2 linked regions of the Macaca fascicularis genome follow. The protein of the gene in region 2 interacts with the protein of the main gene of each other region in a pairwise test. Links are inferred from orthologs where the notes say so. Each region holds a gene or a part of one and is shown on either strand. Other genes may lie near its edges.

Region 1 (12,027 bases), on a different chromosome or scaffold from region 2:
AAATGAATGATCAGCCTCCTGTTAATTTTATCCTAGAGTCTACTGCATCCCTCCTACCCCCTGCACAGGAATTTAGTCACACTTATCTCTCCCACTTTCTCTCCCTTCTTCACTTTCTGTATTCCTCCTCCTTTCATGCCTGTACCTGGTTTTCCATGCCCTGTTTAGCCTGGCTTGGGATCCAGCAGGTTCTCCGAGGGTTCCTGCGAGAACCCGGGCTGGGTGCTCAGGTCTGAGCCTGGTATGTGCCTCAGTATCACAAAGGCCTCTTGTAAATGACCTCCATTGTTGAAAGTTTCGGAAATTCTAGGTCAAAATGGCACTTAAATATTAAGGTATTTACTCCAACCCAAGTAACTTTTCTAAAAGTTGTAGAGGGTGTTACCTCTTTATTAATCGAAACGTGAAAATCAGCTCTAGTTTGGAAACTGAGAAAATATATATATATATGTATTTATTTCTTTGTTGTTCTAATTCTTGATATAAAGGTTTAAAGGACCCTTGAAAGCTGCATGCAATCACAGAAGGTTTTGGCTTTAGGCAGCTCCCGCCATGATCTTGGGGCTCCATTGATTCTTTCATCTTTCAGGTGTCTTACTGTTTGAACCTTGAATTTTAACCTGGGACATGTTTGACTAAAATGATGCTGTTAATATTTTCTATTGTGCAAAACACAAAGAGAACTAGGCTCCAGGATTATTTCTATTTGCTAATGCTGTTTCTGTTGACTTTTGACTTTTCCAGTTTCCCAGAGCTATGGGGACTTCCCATCCGGCGTTCCTGGTCTTAGGCTGTCTTCTCACAGGTACGGAGCCCAGTCCTCTCTGAGTTCCTTGTTTGGGTGTCTTGTTTTCTAAGCTTTGTGCTCCATGGGTTTATTACCAGTACTCCACATGCACAGTCCAAAAGAATGAAATGAAATAGAAAACTACAGGACGTTATCCAGAATGACCACAAACCTTCAGTTCCCTTTGCTGTATTGCACTTACTCCATTTCAAAAGGAATGCTCTCTAGTGGCAGTTTTAGTAATATATATAATGTTGGCATTGAAATGTTGTTAGTAATAATGTCTAAATTTACTTACTCTTCCTTTTCCTAGGACAAGTCTTCTATTAGAGCTAGATTAGATAAATTCAGGAATGGTCAACTGTGGGAGGTAGCACATCTGTTGTCCCAGCTCCTTGAGCAGCCGAGGTGGGAGGATCCCTTAAGGCAAGGAGTTCCAGGTTGCAGTGCACTGTGATTATGCCTGTGACTAGCTACCACACTCCAGCCTGGGCACCATAGCAAGACCTCATTTAAAAAAATGTTTAAAGAAAATAAATAATAGAAAATTCTTGCCCAAGAAATCATACCTGTCTTAAATCATAACTCTCCTGATGAAAGATGCTTACATTGCTTCCAAATCTCAGAGTCACCTTTATCTTCTCTAGGAATCAAATTGATAGATAAATGTTTGGTTCTTGGAAAATCTTAAAAACTTTCCCACCAAAAGGATGCCATTGGGGTAATTTGTTGATGTACTGGACTTTCTTAGTTTTCCTCCAGATATTTATGCACTGCAGATGTTTGCCATGGAACCAGTGCTCTTCTATTCTGAGGAGTTAGCTCAGCCCGTTAGTGTCTTTGTCTTACTCATTTGGATATGGTAGAATTGAGCAAGACCAGAGATTTAACAGATGTAAGCTCCACTAAGTATACCCCATCTACAGAGTAACAGGTGATCCAGATGTGCTTACAAATCCTACCTTAACAAGTTTCAGGAATTATGGTGGTCATATATTGAAGTTGGGTGGGAGTCTCACATCAGGCTCCAAGGGAGATTACAAATCATTAATTAATAATTAAGTCAAAATATCTCTTCTATCTGTCTTGGGTTTCTTGTTTTCTAAGTTCTGTGCTCCATGGGTTTATTATCTGTACTCTGCATACACAGTCCAAAAGAGTGAAAAGAAGTAGAAAACTGCAGGACGTTATCCAGAATGACCGCAAACCTTCAATTCCTTTGCTATATCACATTTACTCTATTTCAAAAGGAGTAAGTTCAGTTTCAGTCTAAATAAGCGAGACTGAAATTTGAGGTTCAAAGATGAACTGAGAGTTTTCACTCGGGTTTTACTTACTAATTGTGAATTAAAATCCATATCATCTGGCACCACTGCACTCCAGCCTGGGTGACAGAGCAAGACTCCATCTCATAAAAACAAATAAATATATAAACAAATAAATAAATCCACATCATCCTGCTTTGGCCCTGGAAGTCATGAGGGAGAGACAGCATGCCCAAGGGCTATAAGAAATGGAAAATGTGGAATTCTTGAGCACAGATGTGCTTTGTGTTTTGTTCAGTCCATATCCTTGCCTCTGTTCTCATTCCATGTATTTTGTTTTGTTTTGTTTTGTTTTTTTGAGACAAGGTCTCTCGCTCTATTGCCCAGGCTGGAGTGCAGAGGCTCATTGCAGCCTCAATCTCCTGGGCTCCAGTGATCCTCTTACCTCAGCCTCTGGAGTAGCTGGGACTACAGGTGTTCACCAGCACACCTGGCTAATTTTTTTATTTTTTATTTTTTGTGGAGACCAGGTCTCACTATGTTGCCCAGGCTGGTCTCAAACTCCTGAACTCAAGCGATCCTCCCACTTCCACCTCCCAAAGTGCAGGGATTACAGACATGAGCTGCTGCGCCCCAGCCTCATCTCATTTTAACTAAGGGAAACCTCCGCAGTGACTGTGAACCATAAAGAACCCATATGTGCCTGAGCCTGTGCCATCTTGGGATATTTTATGGTTACACATAAGAGTCTGAAATATGGAATTGGAATCAGACATCCTCTGTCCATTTGAGTGTTTGGAGGAGTGAATCTAGTGGGGCTTGGTAGAGCTATCTGGAACATTTGCTGCTCTCAGCAGATGCAGTAGCTGTTATAATGGGGGACCTTTCATGGGCATCCAGGCTAACGGATTTTTGTGTAGAAATGGTCATTGTTCATCTAAGCTGCTACTGTTGCTTCTCTCAGTTCTCGGGATGAGACCGTCCTTTCTGGTTGCATCCTATTCAGAGCGTGTTTCCTTTTGCAGGGCTGAGCCTAATCCTCTGCCAGCTTTCGTTACCCTCTATCCTTCCAAATGAAAATGAAAAGGTTGTGCAGCTGAATTCATCCTTTTCTCTGAGATGCTTTGGGGAGAGTGAAGTGAGCTGGCAGTACCCCATGTCTGAAGAAGAGAACTCTGATGTGGAAATCAGAAATGAAGAAAACAACAGTGGCCTTTTTGTGACAGTCTTGGAAGTGAGCAGTGCCTCGGCGGCCCACACAGGGCTGTACACTTGCTATTACAACCACACTCAGACAGAAGAGAATGAGCTTGAAGGCAGGCACATTTACATCTATGTGCCAGGTGAGTGGGATGGGTCCCCAGGACCGAGCTTCTTCTCTTCCTGTCTTTCCTGTTAAATGTACTAAGGTTTTAAACATATATATAAATAATTAATATTTATTGCAGGAAGTTTGAAAGATGTAAGCGAACACACAGAAATAAAAATCATTTGTAATATTATCAAGAAATATTCATTGTTAGCATTTCAGAGCTGTATTAAGTTTGGAAAGTCATCTTTGTTATGACATGTCCTGTATTGGTACTGTATAAACAATCTGAAATATACTCATCTCTATTCAGTTCATTCAAGTTGCACACATACTCACAGTGTGTCCAGCACTGGGCTACGTGTTGAGTATACAAAAATTAATAGGTAAGCCCGGTCTTGGAGTTGCTGATAGTTCATTATAATATCTTCCAAATAAACACTCGATTTTTCAGATTCACTATCAATATACATTTATTCTGAGAGTTGGAAGGTATTTTCTTTTTCCTTTTAAAAAGTTATATATATATATATATATATATTTTGAAACAGGGTCTCACTCTGTTGCCCAGGCTGGAATGCAGTGGCATGATCATGGCTTACTGCAACCTCAACTCCCCTGGTTCAAGCGATCCTCCCACTTCAGCCTCCCAAGTAGCTGGGATTACAGGCATGCACCACCACGCCTGGCTAATTTTTATATTTAAAAAATTTTTGTGTGTGTGTATTTTCATTTGAGACAGGGGTTTCACCATATTGACCAGGCTGGTCTTGAACTCCTGACCTTAAGTAATCTATCTGCTTCGGCCTCCCAAAATGCTGGGATTACAGGCGTGAGCCACTATGCCGAAATTTTTGTATTTTTTTTGTAGAGATAGGGTTTCACTGTGTGGCCCAGGCTGGTCTCGAACTCCTGGGCTCAAGTGAGCCCCACCCACCTCAGCCTTCCAAAGTTCTGGGGTTACGGGCGTGAGCCACTGGGCCCGGCCTACTCCTACATTTTAATTAAAAGGACAAAGGATTGAACACAAGTGGTGGCAATTTCAGTATGCAGTTGGGTAAATTAAAAAGGACTGTGGCTAGAATCCTTGGTTTTAGAACAAAACAGAAACCGCTTAGGATTCTTGCCATCCTTGCCGTTTTGGCATAGGTCGAGGAAGGGGGTTCTCACAGAAGTGTGTCTTCCTACCTTTCTGCCTTTTCTTTTTCAGTTTTTAATGGGCTCCTCTTCCTACCCTCTGTAACTATGGGTGTCCCCAGGGACCTAGACCCTCTTTACTTCTTTCATGATACTCTTATTCATATGAGCCTTCCTTCTTAACAATTAAGGAAAAAATAAACAACTTTGTTTTGAAAAGGTAAGACATTTAGAATGTCACCCCAACTTCATTCACACTTAGATTCCTTCAGGAAAATCCTCTAGGTGTGGAGGGATTTTCCCCTGCTGTGAAGAGAATGGTAGGATCGTGAATATGTTAAAGGCACACAAGTCCCTGGTTTTAATCCGTGTAAGATTGTCCAAAAATTCTTCTTGTTCCCTATCTTTTTCCAGCACAGACGCCATCCAAGTAGCCCCTGCATCGCTGTCTGACAGAGATCTTTTGATTTCACAATAATGGAGATTTAGGGGCCTTTTCTGCAGCTGATGTTTGAGACTCTTAGAACTTCTTACCACCGTAGCTTAAGTAGCTGTTTTTCTTTTGGAAAGGAAATTCTCAGGCTCCTTCTCCTTCTCCTTCTTTAAATTTTATGTATTTCTCAAAGGATTACTTTTTAACAAACACATTTCTGTGCTACTTTTCAATCGTACTGACTACAGGTGATAAGAGTTTTTTGAAAGTATTTCATAATAAAACTAGAAATATTTTTTCCTGTTTTGAACAGAGTTGGACTCTATTAAATATTTTATTGTTCATTTTTGTTTTTAGTTGTTTAAATTTTGATTTAGATTCCTGGTTAGTATTTATTTATTTATTTGTAGAGACAGGGTCTCTCTATGTTGCCCAGCCTGGTCTCAAACTCCTGAACACAAGCAACCCTCCCACCTTGGCTTCCCAAAGTGCTGGGATTAAAGGCATGAGCCACAACTCTTATCCATTATTAATATTTATCATCAGTATTATCCATCAGGAGACAAGCAATTTGACATTATTCACACTTAAAAATCACTTTGTAGCTGTCATGATAACTAATGCCAGTGGGGCAATTCTTCTGGATATATGTGTAAAGGTGAACTTCATACCTAATATCAATACTGCCAGTGGGATAGTGTTTCTGGATTTATGTGTAAAGGTGAAATTAATGTCTAATGGAGTCTTCATTCTTTTTTAAACCACAGACCCAGATGTAGCCTTTGTACCTCTAGGAATGACGGATTATTTAGTCATCGTGGAGGACGATGATTCTGCCATCATACCTTGTCGCACAACTGATCCTGAGACTCCTGTAACTTTACACAACAGTGAGGGGGTGGTACCTGCCTCCTACAACAGCAGACAGGGCTTTAATGGGACCTTCACTGTAGGGCCCTATATCTGTGAGGCCACCGTCAAAGGAAAGAAGTTCCAGACCATCCCATTTAACGTTTATGCTTTAAAAGGTACTCATATCATCTCCTTCCTTCTTTAAATAAGAGTAACAGGCATAATCATCAGGTGCATGTATGATTTTTTTTTAAAATCATCACCACTGGTGATCCTAAATTCTGATTTGGGGATTTAGGACCCCAGCTAATACAGTGTCAAGGTGACCTCTATGGCTATAATAATAAGCTTAAAATTACTAAAGGCTAAAGCTTGATTACTCATGCAAGATTTCATGTTTCATCAGTTGACTTCAAAATACTGTAAGGAATTCTTTTCTTATATAAGCCTCTTACTTTCATTCACATTCCTGACTACGGAGGCCCTAAAACAAGCATACACCTCGGGGGTTAGATTCCTAGATTAATTTAGTAACTTAAGGAAAATGATTTCAATTCTGAAGAAAGTAGTTGTAGACTTCAACCCTTTGATGTCCACAGTTAGTACGCTTGGGGAAGTATAATACATGCTGAGGTCAACAGATATTTCCTGACCACTATTCTATGTGGAGGAATGGGTAGCAGCAAGAGTACACTGTTTGAAAATCAGAGCACAGCTAATTTTGTGCCAGGCACTGTGCTGGGTTCTGGGAAAGTACTGAGAATAACTGAGGAGCAGAGTGGAAGAGAAGAAGAGAAGAAAAAATTGGATAGAAACAAAGTGTCTAGAGCAGTGTGGATCATCAAAGGTTGGTTGATTAAATGAATAAGTATGTCAGTCAAGGTGATGGTAGACGAGTATAACCATAACTAACGCACTGCTGAGGAATGCAGTGATTGGAATTTATTTTTATTGTTATTATTTTATAATTCTGTATTATAACTATACACCTAATTGTTGTACACCATCTCAAAATCAAGCCTTGTGAGATTTTCTAAATTTTATCTTGATCAGGGCTTTTATTCATAATTGGTTCACAAATTATTTTTCAGGGTTTTCTTAAAAAAACAAAAAACAACACCACCACCCAAACTTTATAAGATCCTTACTATCCTATGGATTTTTAGGCCCTTGTATTTGTTCTTTTTTATAGCAACATCAGAGCTGGATCTAGAAATGGAAGCTCTTAAAACCGTGTATAAGTCAGGGGAAACGATTGTGGTCACCTGTGCTGTTTTTAACAATGAGGTGGTTGACCTTCAGTGGACTTACCCTGGAGAAGTGGTAGGTACCCTCAAAATGTGCAATGGCTTGGAGCAGAGCAGCAGGGCTCAGAAGACCTGCATTTGTGCTGGGTCTGTCACTGATGGGCACATCACTGAGTTTCTCTAGACCTTAGCTTCCCACCTCTATGATGAACACATTTGATTAAAAAGCCTTTAGGGCTCCTTGATCAATGGGCGAGTTTGAAACGACAGTTGCTGGACCAGGGCCTTCAGAATACATAAAGAGTGTGCACTAAGCCTTCTTTCTCAGAAGTCAGACAGAAATAGGAAGGTTCTCTGGCTACAAAATATCAACCAAAAAATTAGAAGAGCAAAAAAACCGCTGGATTTTACTATTGCGGAGAGTCATTAATTGTCATTGTCTTGGCTTCTGTGCTTCTGACGGTTGATTCATTTGATAGTGTTTATTGCCTGCACTCCTTCCTGTTCTGCCTTGTTGACACTGAGGACAGTGTGTCTTCCTGTTCCACCTCCTATGTGCCTGACCTTTGCATGGCTCACGTTCAGTGAACAGTCACTATGTAATCATTCAACAAAGGTTTAATGATGTTTTACTCAATCTCAAGCACCGTACCAGAAGCTGGTCCAATATTGCCGGATGAAGGGAGGAGGGGAGATGGAAGTGGGGAAAGGGAGCCACCATGCTGCCTCTTGGTCACTGGAGATTTACACAGAGTCTCAGTCATTCGAATGCATTGTCACTAAGTAAGAGAGGCATGTGTAAGAGGCTATGAATGCCCAAATGCAGGAATGACTAACATTCTTATGGAGAACAAAAACCAGATATATATATTTCTTCCCTCTTCTCCTGACTTGTAAATTTCTGCTCCCTGTTCTTTTAGGCATTTGACAGCTTTCTGTCCTTCTATCCATTGATCTCCCTCCTTATATACATTTCTCTCTCCCATGCATTTGCCACTGCTTTTCATTCGTCCTGGAGCATCTGATTGGAAGGTGGGCATTTTCACTATTGCCTCATAAACTTCACATGGTAAAGGGACATTTACAGTCCAACAAATGTACATCTTCCCTGAAATATGGAGTGATTTGGTTCTTCTGTTCACACTTGATTGCCATTAATCCCTAACACATAAACACTGCTTTTTATTTATAGGATACAGTATTTTTTTCCCAAACCAAAGTACATGCTATTTGGCTTACAAATATATAATCAAAGTATTGTTTCATACAATATGTTTTTTTCTGATTGTAAAAGTAATGCAGGTTTAATGCAGATACTTTGTAAAATACAGAGAGACAAAGGAAAGGCTACTTCCCAGAGCATCGCTGTTTATATTTTAGGGAGATAAAACTTTTATTTTTTATTTGTCTTTCTTTCGGTTTTTTTTTTTCTTCTTCTTCTTCTTTTTTTTTTTTGTAGAGATGAAGGTCTCACTACATTGCCCAGGCTGGTCTCGAATTCCTGGACTTAAGTGATCCTCCTACCTTGGCCTTTCAAAGTGTTGGGATTACACATGTGAGCCTCTGAGATTGACTGAGATAAAGTTTTTAAATATTTCTTATCCATAGATAAACATTGAATAATTAATAGGTGTTATTCTTTAAACAGTAGTTTGTTACATTCTTTATCCTTCAGCAGTATAGCACAAACACCTTATATGTGTCATTAACTATCCTTTTAAAAAATTGGCTGGGTGTGGTAGCTCATGCCTGTAATCCCAATACTTTGGGAGGCCGAGGCAGGAGGGTCACTTGAGGCCAGGAGTTTGAGATCAGCCTGGGCAATGTATCGAGACTCTGTCTTTACAAAAATGTTTTAAAAATTAGCCAGGCGTGGTGGCATGAGCCTGTAGCCTCAGCTACTCTGGAGACCAAGGTAGGAGGATCGCTTGAGCTCAGGAGGTTGAGGCTTCAGTGAGCCATGATTGTGCCACTGCACTCCAGCCTGGGCAGCAGAGCGAGATTCTGTCTCTAGAAAAATTAAAAACAAAATAAAAAATCTCATGATTTTCTAAGCAGCTAGCTTTTTTTCTTTAGGTTTTATCTTTTAGAGCAGTTTTAGGTTTACAGCAAAATTGAGTGAGAGGTACAGAGATTTCCCACGTGTTTCCTGCTCCCACACATGCATAGCCTCCCCGCTTGTCAACATCCCTGCCATCCATTTGCTACAACTGATAAACCTCCATTGACACATCATATCACCCAGAGTCCATAGTCTACCTTAGAGTTCACTCCTAGGAGCGAGCTTTTTAAAAGTCGGTTTTCTTCCCCTTTTGCTGTAGAAAGGCAAAGGCATCACAATGCTGGAAGAAATCAAAGTCCCATCCATCAAATTGGTGTATACTTTGACGGTCCCCGAGGCCACGGTGAAAGACAGTGGAGATTACGAATGTGCTGCCCGCCAGGCTACCAGGGAGGTCAAAGAAATGAAGAGAGTCACTATTTCTGTCCATGGTACATTCCGCTTTCTAAAATGTCAGTCGTCCATGCTGCTCGGGATCCATATGTGGTAATCTTTATTTAATGGAAACTCTTCCCTGTACAGAGAAAGGGTTCATTGAAATCAAACCCACCTTTAGCCAGTTGGAAGCTGTCAACCTGCATGAAGTCAAACATTTTGTCGTAGAGGTGCAGGCCTACCCACCTCCCAGGATATCCTGGCTGAAAAACAATCTGACTCTGATTGAAAACCTCACGGAGATCACCACTGATGTGGAAAAGATTCAGGAAATAAGGTAAAGAAACACTCTGCCCAAGTATGCCTTTTTTTAGTGTGCATCAGAGGTGGACTGAGGTTTGTGTGTGTCTTACAACCCAGACCCAAAGTCATTCTAGAAAATGTAGCAATCTGAGTTCAGAGATGCTTGAAATCACATCCCTTTAATGATAACATTGCAATATGGTATTCGTATGCTGGTAAGTATTTAATGAGAAGATGAGAAGAAAGAACTAAAAGCTCTGGCTCCTGGGGAAAGACAGGTCACTGTATTCAGCTAGGGTGGAAGAAAGGAAGTAAAATCGGACTCACCAGGATTGAATAGATTGAATACATTCCCTGATGTTCATCATCCATATTGCAAGTAGACATGTATGGTGATTACACCCATGAGGTAGTTATCACATCACCTTACGTGAAAGTTAACATCGTAGGCTTAATCTGGAACCCATTTGCCCTAACTGAGGACTCCACAGGAAAGAAGAGTAGAGCCTGGCTGACTTTAGTAAGGAAAGAGATGTGCAGTGAATCACTTGGATCCCTGCCTTTTAATCAGAATGGTCGATTGCTCTCATCTCTTAACTGGTGGTGGTGTTTTGAGTGAGTCACCCTCAGCCACAGTTTCCTGATCTACAATGTAGGGTAAACAATACCTTATGTCCTTCGAGGCAAGGAATTGGATCAGATGATATCATGGGGCTTCTTGAGGTTTTAAGCTGTGATTAGAATCCAAGAGTCAGAAGGTACATCCTGCAGCACCCAGCTAACCAGCCCTATACTTTTGTCAGAAATCATCTCAGAAAGACAAAGTCAGTCCTCTATTTCAAGCCTTCAGGAGGAGGAAGAACAGAGCCTTTCTCATCAGTTCAGTTCACCTCATGATTTGCTTTCTTCTTTCTGAACTAAATTCCACGTGTAATTGAGAAGCAGTCTGAGAAAATGGAATTTTACAATCTCTATAGAATAGTAAAGGAAAAATGAAGTGGGGTACTGAATCTGGTAGGCTTTCTGTTGACACAAAATGAAGGTGCACAACAAGGAGGGCAGCTTTCCATAAGGAACTTCCATGAGGCTGTGCAGCCAGAGAGGAGTAGGGTAACACTGGTACAGCTAACACCTCCAACACATGTGTGAGCATTGTCTGCAAGCCATAATCCACAGCAATGGCAGGACAGGCTTGCCAACTGAGTGGTTCTGGAAAGCTGTGTTTTCCTTTCAGTGATTCAAGGATCCTTCGGTGTGTATTTTTTAGTTCCTATTATGAACCAGTGAATATAAAGATGAACATGGTAGGTGGGGGATCTGGCTTCCTGGAGCTTAAAACTAGTGGACCCACTGGTTTTCTTGGCTGAAGAAGTGTAGACAACAAACAGCAGAGGATAATTTGGTAATCAGCATCCCAGTGTGCCCTAGGGGACTCTCTAAGGAAATCCAGTCCTGGAGCACGCCCAGTATGGTTCAGCCTGCTCTCTTCATAGGTCTGAGTGCCCCAGCATTTGCAAAGTGTTTTGCAGCCTATGAAATCCTTTCACACATACAATCTCCTTTAATTAACTCTCACAACGACTCTGTGCTATGTGTACAATTATCACGTTTTACACACAAGGAAACTGAGGCATGGAGAATTGTAATAATGCCTGAGATCTTCTCACTCCGTGACCAGTGCTTTTCTTTTCCATTCCAGTTGCTTTTTCACACTGTGATGATTTATAAAGGACAATCCAATGGGCACATACTATGTTTATGCACACGCATGCACGAGCACACACACACACACACACACAAAACCAGATGTCATTTATAATCCATGTAAAATATTTTTGGGGAAGCTTCTCTTTAATAAAATTTGAAGAGGCATATTTTTTCTAACTTTTTTTTTTTTTTTTTGAGATGGAGTCTTGCAAGCTCTGTCACCCAGGCTGGAGAGTGCAGTGGTACGATCATAGCTCACTGCAACCTCTGCCTCCTGGGTTCAAGCAATTCTTTAGCCTCAGCCTCCTGAGTAGCTGGGATTACAGGTGTGTGCCACCATGCCTGGCTAATTTTTTTTTTTTTGTATTTTTAGTAGAGATAGGGGTTTCACCATGTTGGTCAGGCTGGTCTTGAACTCCTGACCTCAAGTGATCCACCCGCCTTGGCCTCCCAAAGTGCTGGGATTACAATGTGAGTCATCACACCCAGCCTATAACTTTTTTTTTTAATGGGTGATAGAATCCCATGCTTGAAAAATAATCAAACATAA
Region 2 (12,027 bases):
ATCCACCTACTCCGGCCTCCCAAAGTGCTGGGATTACAGGCATGTGCTGCGCTATCACGCCTGGCTAATTTTTGTATTTTTAGTCGAGACAGGGTTTCACCATGTTGGCCAGGCTGGTCTCAAACTCCTGACCTCAAGTGATCCTCCTGCCTTGGCCTCCCAAAGTGCTGGGATTACAGGCGTGAGCCACCTCGCCTGGTCTGACCAGCATTTTCTTTCTCACACTGCTGTCCTCCTGCTGCTCTTGGCTCTTCCTGTCCCTGGGAGGCCGCTCCTCACATCCTGCTGAGGACCTGCAGGATCCTCACCAATTGCATGTGCCAGCCTTTTGATTCTATAAACCCTGGGCCTCAGTTTCCCCATCTGCAGCATGGAGATCACATTAGTCCCTGCCTCAAGGGGTTGCTGAGAGGATCAAATGAGATGTAATGAAAGTAATTTGCATAGGCCAGGAGCATAGTAGGTGCTCACTAAATGTTAGTGGGTGTTATAGTGTGGGGGTGAGCCGCTCAGTGTGGAATTTCTGGGTGCAGAAGAATGGACATTTTGATGGTCATGGGGCATGGAGGACCCAGACCGGTGAGGTCTGGCCATGGGAGGCCAGGCCGTACCATGATGCCCGTAGCCACCTGCTGTGGGCCCCCTGTCTTTCACACGCCTTGTGCCCAGGCCACTCTGCCCAGGGTCCTCCCGTGTTGCCGCCTTCTCTCCTCAGCGAAGCCCACGCCTCTGGCCCTTCCCTATGTCCTTCCCTCCAAATCACAAGTGGTTCCATGTTGCAGGCGGGCCATGGTTGTCTCTGCTGGGCTGTGGGCATCGGGCGGGAGGACCCTCTGGCAGCCATGGGTGCCCCTGTGCAGCTTAGCACCTGGCCTCCCACTGGACGTTAGGGGTGCTCACGAGCCATACCGGTCCGGAGCATCACTGGGGAGGGGGCACTGCCAGGTAGGTAGGCTGGGGGTCTCCAGTGCTCTGCAGGTGAAGAAGTCCCTGTAGGGTGGAGAGGTGGGGAGGGTGTGAGGCCCTAGAGGCCAGGCCCTGACCAGGTGGCCTCGCACAGCCGGGCAGAAGCAGGGCAGGGCTTTGGAAGGCAGAGCCTTGGTCACTCCTCCTCACCCTAGCCTGCTGCACTCCTACGAGGTGAGGATAGAGAAGGTAGGGCCTGCAGTGGCCATATGTGAGGCCAGATGGGACAGCCTGGGCCTGGCATGGAGCAGGCGCTTGGGTAGATGGGAGGACCTTCTCCTTGTCCTGCATCCTCTCCAGAGCCTGAGACAGGGGCCCCAGGACCTCAGGGCAAGGGGCCCTGCCTGAAGGTGCATGGCCACCCCCTACTGCCTGCAGGTGCTTGGCAGTGGCGCATGCAGCGCCTCAGGACCTCTGATGGCACCTGTCCTGGGCACAGGGGCCAGCGTCTGGCAGATCGCAGCCAAACGCATTCACTGTCGAGGTACATCTGCCCACGCAAAAGCCTGCGCCCACTTCTCAGGGCCTCAGTTTCCCCGTGCCGTGGAGTGGGCTGGCTTCGTTGCTGTCCCTCTGAGGGACCCTGCGGAATAGAGGTGGCCTGGGGCAGGGCGGCGCCTCTTGCTGTTCACATCTCCCAGCCCCTGTGGCTCCTTCTCTGGCGGGCCCAGCACTTCTACAGTGGAACAGGGACCTCCTGGAACATCCAGAAGTCAGGCGAGGGCAGTGAACTAGGAGCAGGGGTTACTTCTGTCGTCGGAAACCTGGTGATGCTCCTTCACGTGGCGCGGTGTGGCGTGGTGTGGCGTGGCGTGGTGTGGCGTGGCGTGGCATGGCGTGGCGCGGCGTGGCGTGGCGTGGTGTGGCGTGGCGTGGCGTGGCGTAGCGTGGCGTGGTGTGGCGTGGCGTGGCGTGGTGTGGCGTGGTGTGGCACGGCGTGGGGGCTGTCTTTATGAGTGGAGGCAGAGCAGAGGCTGTGAGGAGGGGTTGTCACCTTGCCCCTGTGGGTGACCGTTAGAGGGCCACACAGCTCAGTCTCCCCAGGCCCAGGATGGAAGGAGCAGCCGAAGTGGGGTCCCTGCCCTCAGGCTGTTGCTGTTTGGATGTTGGAGCCGGGCAGACCTGCCTTTACGGCCAGTCCTCACCAGATGCCCACCGTGTGGCCTCTCTGAGTCGCCTCTTCTCCCGTATGCTTGGTACAACAGATACGTGAACCTCCCCTGCTCCCTCGTGGAGTCACTGAGAAGGTGGACAGGGATGGTCTGGGGCTGAGGGTGGTGTTATCTCTGGAGCTGTGCACTCCCAGATGGCCCCATCTAATCTCCACGCACCAGGCATTGCTACGGCATGGCGCTGATAACCCCGGGAGGTTGGTCTGTAGTCTCCGCTTCACATATGTCCAGAGAGGTGAAGCCACTTGCCTGAGGGCACACAGCAGGGAAGGGGCAGGGTTGCAGTTGAGCCCAGGCCTTGGCTCCAGAGCGTTTGTTCGCAGGTGATCTGCAGACTGGCTGGCTGAGATGGTAACACAGAACGGCCACCTACGGGACTCCACAGCAGAGAAACCAGCAGGCCACAGGGAGAGCCGGTCACTGGGGCCTGAGCGGTCAGGCAGCCTCTCCGAACTGGTGAAAGGCAAGACCATGTGGCAGCTGGGACGGTCGCAGGGAAGAGCATTTCAGGCAGAGGGAAGGGCATGCGCGAAGGCCCTGCGATGGGAAAGCAGGTGTCTCATTCAGAGAAGGGCTCACTCAAGGGTCGGGTCTCTAGTGGGGGGTGAGTGGGAGGAGATAGGGCAGAGCTGCCGCGGCCAGTGAGAGTTGTGTCCTAGTCTGGGGGCACCTCTCTTTACCTGTGGTGTAGCCTCAGGTCAGTGGCTGAATTCTGGTCAGTTTCCGTTTCCTCATCCCTGCCTGGGGGCTGCTTTGAGGCTAGAGTATGTGGAGGACACCCCAGGACACCCCGTGCTGGGAACCGGGACAGGCGGGCTTGTCATGGGTTGCCAGTGGCCGCCGAGAGCCTCTGTTTGTTGTGGTGACGGTCGCCACAATGGCTGCACCTGGGCAGCCCTGGGCTGCCTGGCCATCTGGGCCCAGCTCTGACGTCTGTGGCAGCCTGAGGCCTGTTTCTGGGCTGTCTCCATGACGGCCTCACCCACTCCGTCTGACAGCTGGGTGGCTTCCCTGTGGAGCCTGCGGCCCTCCTGATGCAAGTCCGGTGTCCCCAACAGGCAGGTGGATGCAGAGGCCAGGCCATATACCCCCCAGGCCTGTGAGGAGCGTGGTCCCCACCCATCCAGCCCATATGTGCAAGTGCCCTTGACAGGTGGGGAAACTGAGGCTTGGTGAAAGGGGGGCACATGATACAACATCCCCAAATCCCAGGGCGTGAGGTGGGTGGCAGGCTGGGCCAGAGGGACCAAGAGCAGAGAAAGTGCAGGGAGGGTGTGGCGTGGACCCCACAGGAAAAGGATGGGACTGCAAGGGGCTGGGCAAGGTCAAGGCCCAGGGTCTCTGTGCAGAGCTTTCATTTTTAACAGAAAATATTTTATATTCTGATCACAAAAAACCTGACATCAGGAATAAAAGCTATCTGTAATTCTCATTACCTAGGGCAGTTTTTTTTTTTTTTTTTTTTTTTCCACCTCTGCAGAGAGGCTGGTCATATCCATGGTGACCATTTATGGGCCACAACAGGTCCCCATCTGCGCAGTGAACCCTGTGCTGAGCACCTTGCAGACGTGGTTTTGCTTCGTCCTGCAGCACCGTGCGGGGCAGGTGGGTGGCATTTCTGCCTCGAGCTGTTTTGTACATGAGGAACCCAAGGTGCAGAGGAGGGCACCACGCCAGGATCGCAGAGCTGGGGTTTACTATGGCTGCCCTATGCCAAGCCCAGAGCCCCCTGAAGTTCAGAGCCTTTGGCCCAGAGGCAGGATAGAAGTGGTCTCGGGAGCTGCTGGCCCTGTGTGCCATGGTTTCTCCTGTGAGAGTGTGCTGAGCCTCTGCGTCTCCAGACTCTGTTGCCGTTTCTTGTTAAGCATGAGACTTGGACCTGTCCTTCAGCCTCAGGGAGGGCTCCCTGGGGCAGGGGTGCTGTGAGCCGTGGCCTGGCCTGTGGGGGTCTCCAAGTCAACAAACTCAGGAGGGACTGTAGCCAGAACCCTGACTTGCTGCACAGCCTGGGGCAAGTGGCTTCACCTCTCTGAGCCTGTTCGCCAGGTAAAGTGAGGTTGAGAGCCCCTCCCTGTGGGGCTGTGGGAGCATCTGGAGTCACAGATGAGAAGGGCCCTGCCTGTGGCCAGTGCTGTGGCTCTGACAGACTCGCCGTGAGACCCGTGCAGTCCCGGACAGCCAGGGTGTTGCTGCATCTTAAAATGAGTTAAAAAGCCTCACACAGGAGTAGTGACTAGGCAATTGATTCACCGGGTGAGCGGTTAGCAGGCAGGCACCCAGTGCATGTGGCGGCAGCTGCCGCTGCTGCCTCTGTCTGTGGATGCCTTTGTTTCCTGAAGCCTCTGGGGCCTGGCAGCAGGGTCCCCGGGGCGGCTTTGGTGGAAAGGCTGCAGGTATCTGCTTGCCTGGCCCCTGCACTCTGCCCACCTGCCCCAGGATGGACCCTGGGACCCCTGTCCCCGCCGAGGCTATTCTGTTTCCTGTTGATCTGGCCTTGTCTTCCTAGTGGCGGTAACCACCCTTTGCCCTCCGTCCGGGCCGGGTTGGCTGCTGGGCCCCAGTGCGTGGCTCTCAGATGGGGCCACAAGTCTGCGTTGCACTGTGGCCAAGGCTGGATCTGGACCTGACTTGGAGGCGGCTTCAGAGACTGGGGTCTTCTTGGCAGGTGGCAGCAGGGCCATGGGCAGTTTCCAGGCCCCAGTGCCAGCAGCCAGGCTGAGCCAGCAGCAGTGAGTGGGAGGTGGTGGGTGAGGGCCAAGGTGTGGCAGGACCATGCTTGGGAAATGGGGCAGAAGCTCCCGCAAGGGCAGGAATGTGGCCAGCATGTCTGTACTGGGTGGTCTCGGGGAGCTGTGTCACTCCCAGCCCTGCTGCCTGATGGTGCCAGAGCGCCCGGTGACCCTGCCATCTCTGATCCTTGCTTCTCCTGCCTGTGGAATGGCGGCTATGCCTTCTTCAAAGGGCAGCCCTGACTACAGGGAGCTCCCTCTGCATGCCAGCCCCACTGTGCCTGGAGCCCCAGAAATGCTGACCCTCCGTTAGTACCAGCTGAGTGCTGTGCACCTGGCCATGCTCCTGCAGCCAGCCTGAGAGGTGTGGACACTGGGACCTCTCACCTGCCCCCAGGGGTGGAGTGAGGAAGGTACTGCCCCAGGACTGTGGCCTGCCCAGTGCAGGGGAGGGGAGAGAGCCAGCACTTTTCAGGGGAGGGAGAGAAACGGGCATCAGGTGTTGGCCTCCAGGGTGAGCAGGGCCCGGCAGAGCTAGCCTGCAGGGCAGCCTGGGCTGGAGTCCCCGCTTGCTCCACCGCCTGTTGCCCTCTCTGGGGTCCTGGCCTTCCTCATCTTGGAGGTAGTGTGAGCCTCATCCTGCTACCTGCGGCCACGAGGCCCCTGCACAGTGGCTGCTGCGGGTGCTGGCTGGACCCCTGCTGGGCCCCTCTCACCCCACGTCCCGTTGGCTAGTCAGGCAGGGCAGTGAGGACACCTCACAGATGGGGAAACTGAGGCCCAGGGAGGTACTCAAGATGTGCCCAGTGGGCAGGGCTGAGATAAGGCCCTGGGCTCCAGCCTCTAGGCCTGGGTCTGTCCTGCTCTTTTCCCCTGCAGGGCTGGTGGGCCTCCTTCCTCCCTTTGAACGCCTCACGGTCTGGCTTGGAGAGAGGGGGCTCCCGGCAAGGGTGATCGCAGAGGCTGGCATCCTTGTGGGCCAGGGCCTGAGTCATCCCTGTCTCCATCTTTGCCCAGCCCAAGGGGAGTGCAGGGGACATTGATGACTGAGGGATAGGCCAGAAGCCTCACCTTCTCTCCATTCTAGGAAAATCCAAGAGGAAGAAGGATCTACGGATATCCTGCATGTCCAAGCCACCCGCGCCTAACCCCACGTGAGTCTGCCTCAGTTTCTCCCTGGCTCACCCTGGAGAGGCTTCCCGAACAGGGCTCAGTGGAAGGAGTGAGAGGCAGGTGGGGCCAGCTCTGCTTTGCCTCGTCCTGTCCTGGGCAGCACCTGCTGTGGGTCCAGCTAGGTGACAGCTGCTGGGGTTCATGCAGCACCATCTGCTCTGCTCTGCTCACTTCTCACCCCGTCTTGGAGGCTCGATGAGGCCGTGCCCAGCTCATGTAGATGCTCAGCAGCCAATGAGAGGAGGTGGTCCGAGGAGGTGCCTCCGGGGCAGGATATACCTGGTTCCCACGCCAGGCCCCACACTGGCCCATCTGCTGCTGCTCTTGGAGGAAGGGTGTGGTTCTCTCTGAAGCTCATGGAGCCTTCTTTCTCCACAGACCCCCCCGGAACCTGGACTCCCGGACCTTCATCACCATTGGAGACAGAGTAGGTGCCAGCCGCCACCCCTGCAGGGCCTCTCACTTCAACTGACGAGTGGGTAGAGCTGACCCTGCAGGGTCACTATGAGGGGAGGTGACTGAGGGGTCAGAGAGGGTCAGGCTGTGGAGAAGAGTGTTGTCCTGTGCTGCTGGCTGTGTGGCCCTGGGCCACCCACCCTTTGACCCTGCTGGAGGGAATGAGGACCATTGGCTGCCTGTCTGGAGCTTGGTGAGCTCAGAGCTGGTAGGAAGGTTTCTGAGCTGAGAGCACAGCCCTGCACCTCATCCTAGCCCTAGCGGAGAGTACTGAACGTGCAGGCTCCTAGGCCTCCCTGGACCTGCTGGATCATTCCCTCAGGCCAGCACCTAGGAAACCTGCATTTTCTGCTTCCAGAAGCCTCGGAAGGGCACTAGCCATTGAGAATCCTGTCTCAGGGACCGTGTTATGCCCAGGTCCTCCCAACAGAAACCCTACTCCCAGGCCAGGTGCAGTGACTGACACCTATAATCCCAGCACTTTGGGAGGCTGAGGCAGGAGGAGGATCACTTGAGCTCGGGAACTCGGGACCAGGCCTGGGCAACATGGCGAAACCCTGTCTGTACAAAAATACAAAAAACTGGTCAGTGTGGTGGTGCATGCCTGTGGTCCTGGCTACTTGAGAGGCTGAGGTGGGAGGATCGCTTGAGCCCAGGAGGTGGAGGTTGCAGTGAGCCATGATCATGCCACTACCCTTCAGCCTGAGTGACAGAGTGAGACCCCGTTTCAAAAAAAAAAAAAAAAGAGCTGGGCGCGGTGGCTCACACCTGTAATCCAAGCACTTTGGGAGGCCGAGGCGGGCAGATCACCTGAGGTCAGGAGTTCAAGACCAGCCTAGCTAACATGGTGAAACCCTGTCTCTACTAAAATACAAAAATTACCCCAGTGTGGTGGCAGGCGCCTGTAATCCCAGCTATTCAGGAGGCTGAGACAGAATCGCTTGAACCCAGGAGGTGGAGGTTGCAATGAGCCGAGATCACCCCATTGTACTCCAGCCTGGGTGACAAGAGTGACACTCTGTCTAAAACAAATAAAAGAAACCCCACTTCCTAGGCCTGTCCTTGACGATGCCCCCTCCAGGCTGTCGCACCCCCGACACTCACCACCTGCTGTCCTGTTCATCTACTTGCTTGTTCCTTTTTGTGTCCCTCCCAAGAGAGGGACACATTTGTGAAGGCAAGACTTGTTTTGTTGTCACTGTGTCCCCAGTGCCTAAAACACATTGTGGGTGCTTGGTAAACAGTTTTTGAATGACTGACTCATTCCATTCCAGCTGAGTGGAGTTGGGGAAAGAGGGACAGGGCCCCTCTTTCTCAGAGCTCTGCCTGCTGGCGGGGCATTTCATGGGTGTCTTAGTCACACTCCAGAGCCGCCTTGGGGTGTTGGCACTGTGCCTATTTTATAGAGGGCAACGTGAGGCTCAGAGAGGTTAAGTGACTTGCTGAGGGTCACACAGCAGGGAGTGGTGGGTATGAGGTTTGAGCCCAGATCTAACCAGCTGGTCCTCTTCATGCTGCCTAGCTATCTCCACTGGGTGAGAGGTGAGGACTGGCTTCCAGCTTGGTGGCCACTGACTCTCTCTCTTTTCCATCCCTCAAGAACTTTGAGGTGGAGGCTGATGACTTGGTGACCATCTCGGAACTGGGCCGTGGAGCCTATGGGGTGGTGGAGAAGGTGCGGCACGCCCAGAGCGGCACCATCATGGCCGTGAAGGTGAGCAGGGCCTGGAGGCACCTGGGAGGGCTCCCTGGAGGAGGCGAGCTGAGCCCTGCCATGGGGCCCTGCCTGTCCCTCTCAGTGACCAGTACCGAGCCCAGGCTTTTTGGGGCACACTAGGCAGTGGCCCTCTGAGCTCCTGGTCCTCCTGTCATGAGTGGGGGTGTTGGCCTCTGCCACAGCAACCTCTGAACGGCAGTCCTTCCCTGCAGCGGATCCGGGCCACTGTGAACTCACAGGAGCAGAAGCGGCTGCTCATGGACCTGGACATCAACATGCGCACGGTCGACTGCTTCTACACTGTCACCTTCTACGGGGCACTGTTCAGAGAGGTGTGTCCTCGCGTGGTACAGCTGGGGAGCTCCACCTCCCACCCATCAGTCGCCTGCAACCCACTGTCACTCAGTCCCTCCAGTGTGCCAGGTGCTGGGGACACGGGGAGCCACCCGGGGCCAGCACGGCTCCCAGAGGCACCAGCCCTGCCAGACCACCGGGCTCCCCCACCTCCTGGCTGTTACTGTCCTGCTTGGTGCCTCGGTTTCCTTATCTGTCAAATGAGGCTAGTGGTTGTGGGTGCCTCCTAAAGTTGACACGGAAGTTAAATGACATGGCCTGGGGCCTGGCATTCGGCTGCACTCAGTTCTGCCTGTGTGACCATTCGCATCCCCATGGCATACGGGGCGTGGGGTGCCTGAGCAGGCAGTGGCCATGGAGATATGAGATCTGGGTTCTAGGTTTGTGGGCAGCATGGGGTGTGTGCTGAGGGAGTGACTGAGCTGGAAGGGTGGAGCTGCCTTCCGCCAAGCCGGGTGGGTGTGGGTGAGCAGGGAGCCTGGGAGCCTGGGCGATGCTGGGCTCATACTGGTCGCTTGCCCCTCAAGGAGCTGTGGCAAGGTCAGGGCATCTGAGTCCAGCAATCGGGCACGGTCAGGGCTGCCTCACCTGGCCTCACTCTTCACTCATGAAGAGCTCAGCATCCCCTGTGCCAGCTCCTAGCCAATGGGGCCCCTACAGCCTGTGGGTGCCCCGTGCGCATCTCCTAACTTTCCTGTCAGGAGGGTCCTCAGGAGTTCACTGGGGAAGAGGGAGCTGGTCCTTGCAGGCAGGGAGCCATCTGCCAGGGTCAGCGGGCATGAAGGTGTCTGTCGGTCCACAGGGCCGGCTGTTGCCGTGGAGCTGGTGCGGGTGCATCCTGAGGCTCTGGTGGAGGGACCCAGTGAGGCTCTGTGCTAATCCCCCTCCTCCCTGGAGACACCTGGAATTAGGGATTAGATGGAGGAGGCTGGCACCCGAACCTGGCAGTGCAGGCAGAGCTGGAGGGTGGGGAGATGTGGGCAAGTGGAGGGTGGGGAGAAGCGGGCAAGTGGGGGGTGGGTGGGAGCCCGGTGAACTGTGGCTGAGTGGGTGGGCACACATTGAGGAGGGGGCTGGGGCTGGTGCTGGGGCAGGCAGTGTAGGTGGTGCCGACACAGGCAGCCCGGCAGCCTGGCTGAGCTCTGGGTGTCACCCACAGGGAGACGTGTGGATCTGCATGGAGCTCATGGACACATCCCTGGACAAGTTCTACCGGAAGGTGCTGGATAAAAACATGACAATTCCAGAGGACATCCTCGGGGAGATTGCTGTGTCTGTGAGTGGCCTGGGTGCGCTGGGGGTCCCAGGTGCATAGGCAGAGGCCCAGCCCTTCCAGCAGGCATGGAGCCTGCCAGATACTGGTGTCTTGGGCAGAGCTGGGCATCAGTGTGCCCCCTGAGCCTGGGCAGCTGCCCTGCATAGGCCCTTCTCCTCCACCCCACACCAGAGCCTTCACGCTTAGGAGACCTCAGCTCCTTGGGCTCCTGGAGCCCCACAGATTTGGCAGATCCAGGTGTCTGAGCCATTGATTCCAACTCTTGAGTTCCAGACCATTTTTTTTAAAAAAAGGAATTTAGTATTTACAACAGCATCATACTGAAAATGCCCCGGGGCAGCTCACAGAGGTACAAGCTAAGTTGAGGGAAAGGTTAGCATCCAAAATGTGTGCTTTTTGAGTCTCAAAAGTCCTTGAGGGAGGGCAGCAACACTGGGCTTGAGCATCCCAGTAGCCAAAGGAAAAAGGAAAATAGAACTAGTGACACTGGTTCAATCCTCACTGCATCTGGAAACGTTTACAATATATGCTTGCCTCAGGCTCCCCACCCAGCCTTCCCAAGGGAAATGGCTCCAAGCTGCTAGAATACTGGCTCTGCCACGGGAGGGAAGATGGGACAGGAAGGCTGCCAAGAGCTGGCTTTTACCCAAGAAGAGCCTGGCAGGCAGTGATGATGATGGCTCCCTGGGAGGTGAGCCTGGGAGGGTGAGAGGAGGCAGGAGGCTGAGTGTGTCCACACAGGGATTGTTAGGATGCTGAGGCAAATGCCAGGACAGGGCAGGAGGCTGGGGTGAGGAGGTGCCTAGCCTGTGCAGCGGGAGCAGGAGACAGGTGGACATGGATGGGGTCTTACTGCTGTCGTTGTTGACATGACCAGCAATAACAGAGTCCTGTCTCTTCCCTCCTCCCCACCCCACCGCCAGATCGTGCGGGCTCTGGAGCATCTGCACAGCAAGCTGTCGGTGATCCACAGAGGTCAGTACCCGGCAGCCACCCAGGCACGGTGCAGCCAGTGGGAGGGATCCCAGGCCAAGGCGGGTAGACGTCTCCCTATGAGCAACTGAGGCTCAGAGAGGTGATAAGTTGTGACGTGCCCAATGGGGTCCCAGCCGCTTTCCACCTGCAGCCCTGCAGCTGCCTCCCCTCATGTTTGCTGGTGTTCGAAGCAAGGACTAGTTTTACCTTTGTCCTGAGAAAGGTGGACCGGGTTCTGTTCTAACGTATAGTTTACAAATCGTGAAATTCCAGCACAGAGTACGTATAATCACGTTCACACCCATGCAACCACCTCCCTGCAAGATGCAGGATAATTCCCTTACCCCAGCCCAAAATGTTCTCTTGGGCCCCTTCTCTGCCATCCCTCATGTGCCTAAGGCAGCCACAAGTCTGGTTTTCCCATGGTGGGTTGGTTTCGCCCTTTCTGGAACATCAGCCTCACTAGCTTGATGTTTCTGGACCCATCCGGGTCTGGTGTGGTGTCGGTTTGTTCCTTTTTGCTGCTGAGCCCAAGTCTATTTTTCCAGATTTACGGCTTTTCAAAAAATGAATTAGGCTTAGTTCCCATTGACCACTGGGTGCCCATCCCAGCCTCCACCTCCAGGTCACTGTGGTTGGCGTTTGGCACGGAACCTTCTGGTCCTTTTTATGTGCATTTCCATCTTTACACACATCCCCATGGAGGGCACGCGGATGCGAGTGTCCTGTGCGCATTTGCATGGAGAATCCCTGCTAGGCTGGTCTCCCATGCTGGTCTGTGGGGACTCCATGTCCAAACACACAGATCCTGCCTCCCAGGCTTTAATTGATCCTGCTGCCCTCTGGGAGCACCCACACAAGCCAGGCTCTCACTGCACCTCACGTCTGGAGGGCGGATGCAGGCGCGGCGCCCCCAGCAAAGCACCTGGAGTCCTGCCTTCTTTGCAGTGGCTTGGCTGGGCTGGGCACGTCCTGGCTATTCCCTGAGGACCATGTATGACCGTCAGCTAGCCCGACACCTCTTGCAGCCTCAGTTCCCTGGTCCGACCCTTGGGACCCTGGTGGAACCTGCCCACTGGGGCATGGGAGGGGGCACAGGAGGGGTCTGGGGCGAGGGAGGGGGACACAGCTATGCAGAGCATGGCACCTGCCTCCAGTCATGCTCCACAGACGTGGCTGAGGCATGTCCTTTCCTGGCAGATGTGAAGC

What was found.
Region 1: the proteins of MAP2K3 (region 2) and PDGFRA come close enough for resonance energy transfer, tested with the Homo sapiens proteins (2 studies listed by BioGRID). The link is inferred for Macaca fascicularis from reciprocal best matches to the Homo sapiens genes MAP2K3 and PDGFRA.

Annotation. Positions count from the first base shown.
Region 1 is NC_088379.1:79,628,530-79,640,556, reverse strand, and holds part of PDGFRA (platelet-derived growth factor receptor alpha), read left to right. Parts: intron 1-744; 5' UTR 745-756; coding exon 757-805; intron 806-3,077; coding exon 3,078-3,395; intron 3,396-5,698; coding exon 5,699-5,959; intron 5,960-6,975; coding exon 6,976-7,106; intron 7,107-9,351; coding exon 9,352-9,523; intron 9,524-9,614; coding exon 9,615-9,804; intron 9,805-12,027. UniProt on the Homo sapiens protein: Tyrosine-protein kinase that acts as a cell-surface receptor for PDGFA, PDGFB and PDGFC and plays an essential role in the regulation of embryonic development, cell proliferation, survival and chemotaxis.
Region 2 is NC_088390.1:20,722,012-20,734,038, forward strand, and holds part of MAP2K3 (dual specificity mitogen-activated protein kinase kinase 3), read left to right. Parts: intron 1-3,618; exon of another isoform or gene 3,619-3,743; intron 3,744-5,954; coding exon 5,955-6,021; intron 6,022-6,418; coding exon 6,419-6,467; intron 6,468-8,096; coding exon 8,097-8,210; intron 8,211-8,425; coding exon 8,426-8,545; intron 8,546-9,726; coding exon 9,727-9,843; intron 9,844-10,766; coding exon 10,767-10,818; intron 10,819-12,018; coding exon 12,019-12,027. UniProt on the Homo sapiens protein: Dual specificity kinase. Is activated by cytokines and environmental stress in vivo. Catalyzes the concomitant phosphorylation of a threonine and a tyrosine residue in the MAP kinase p38.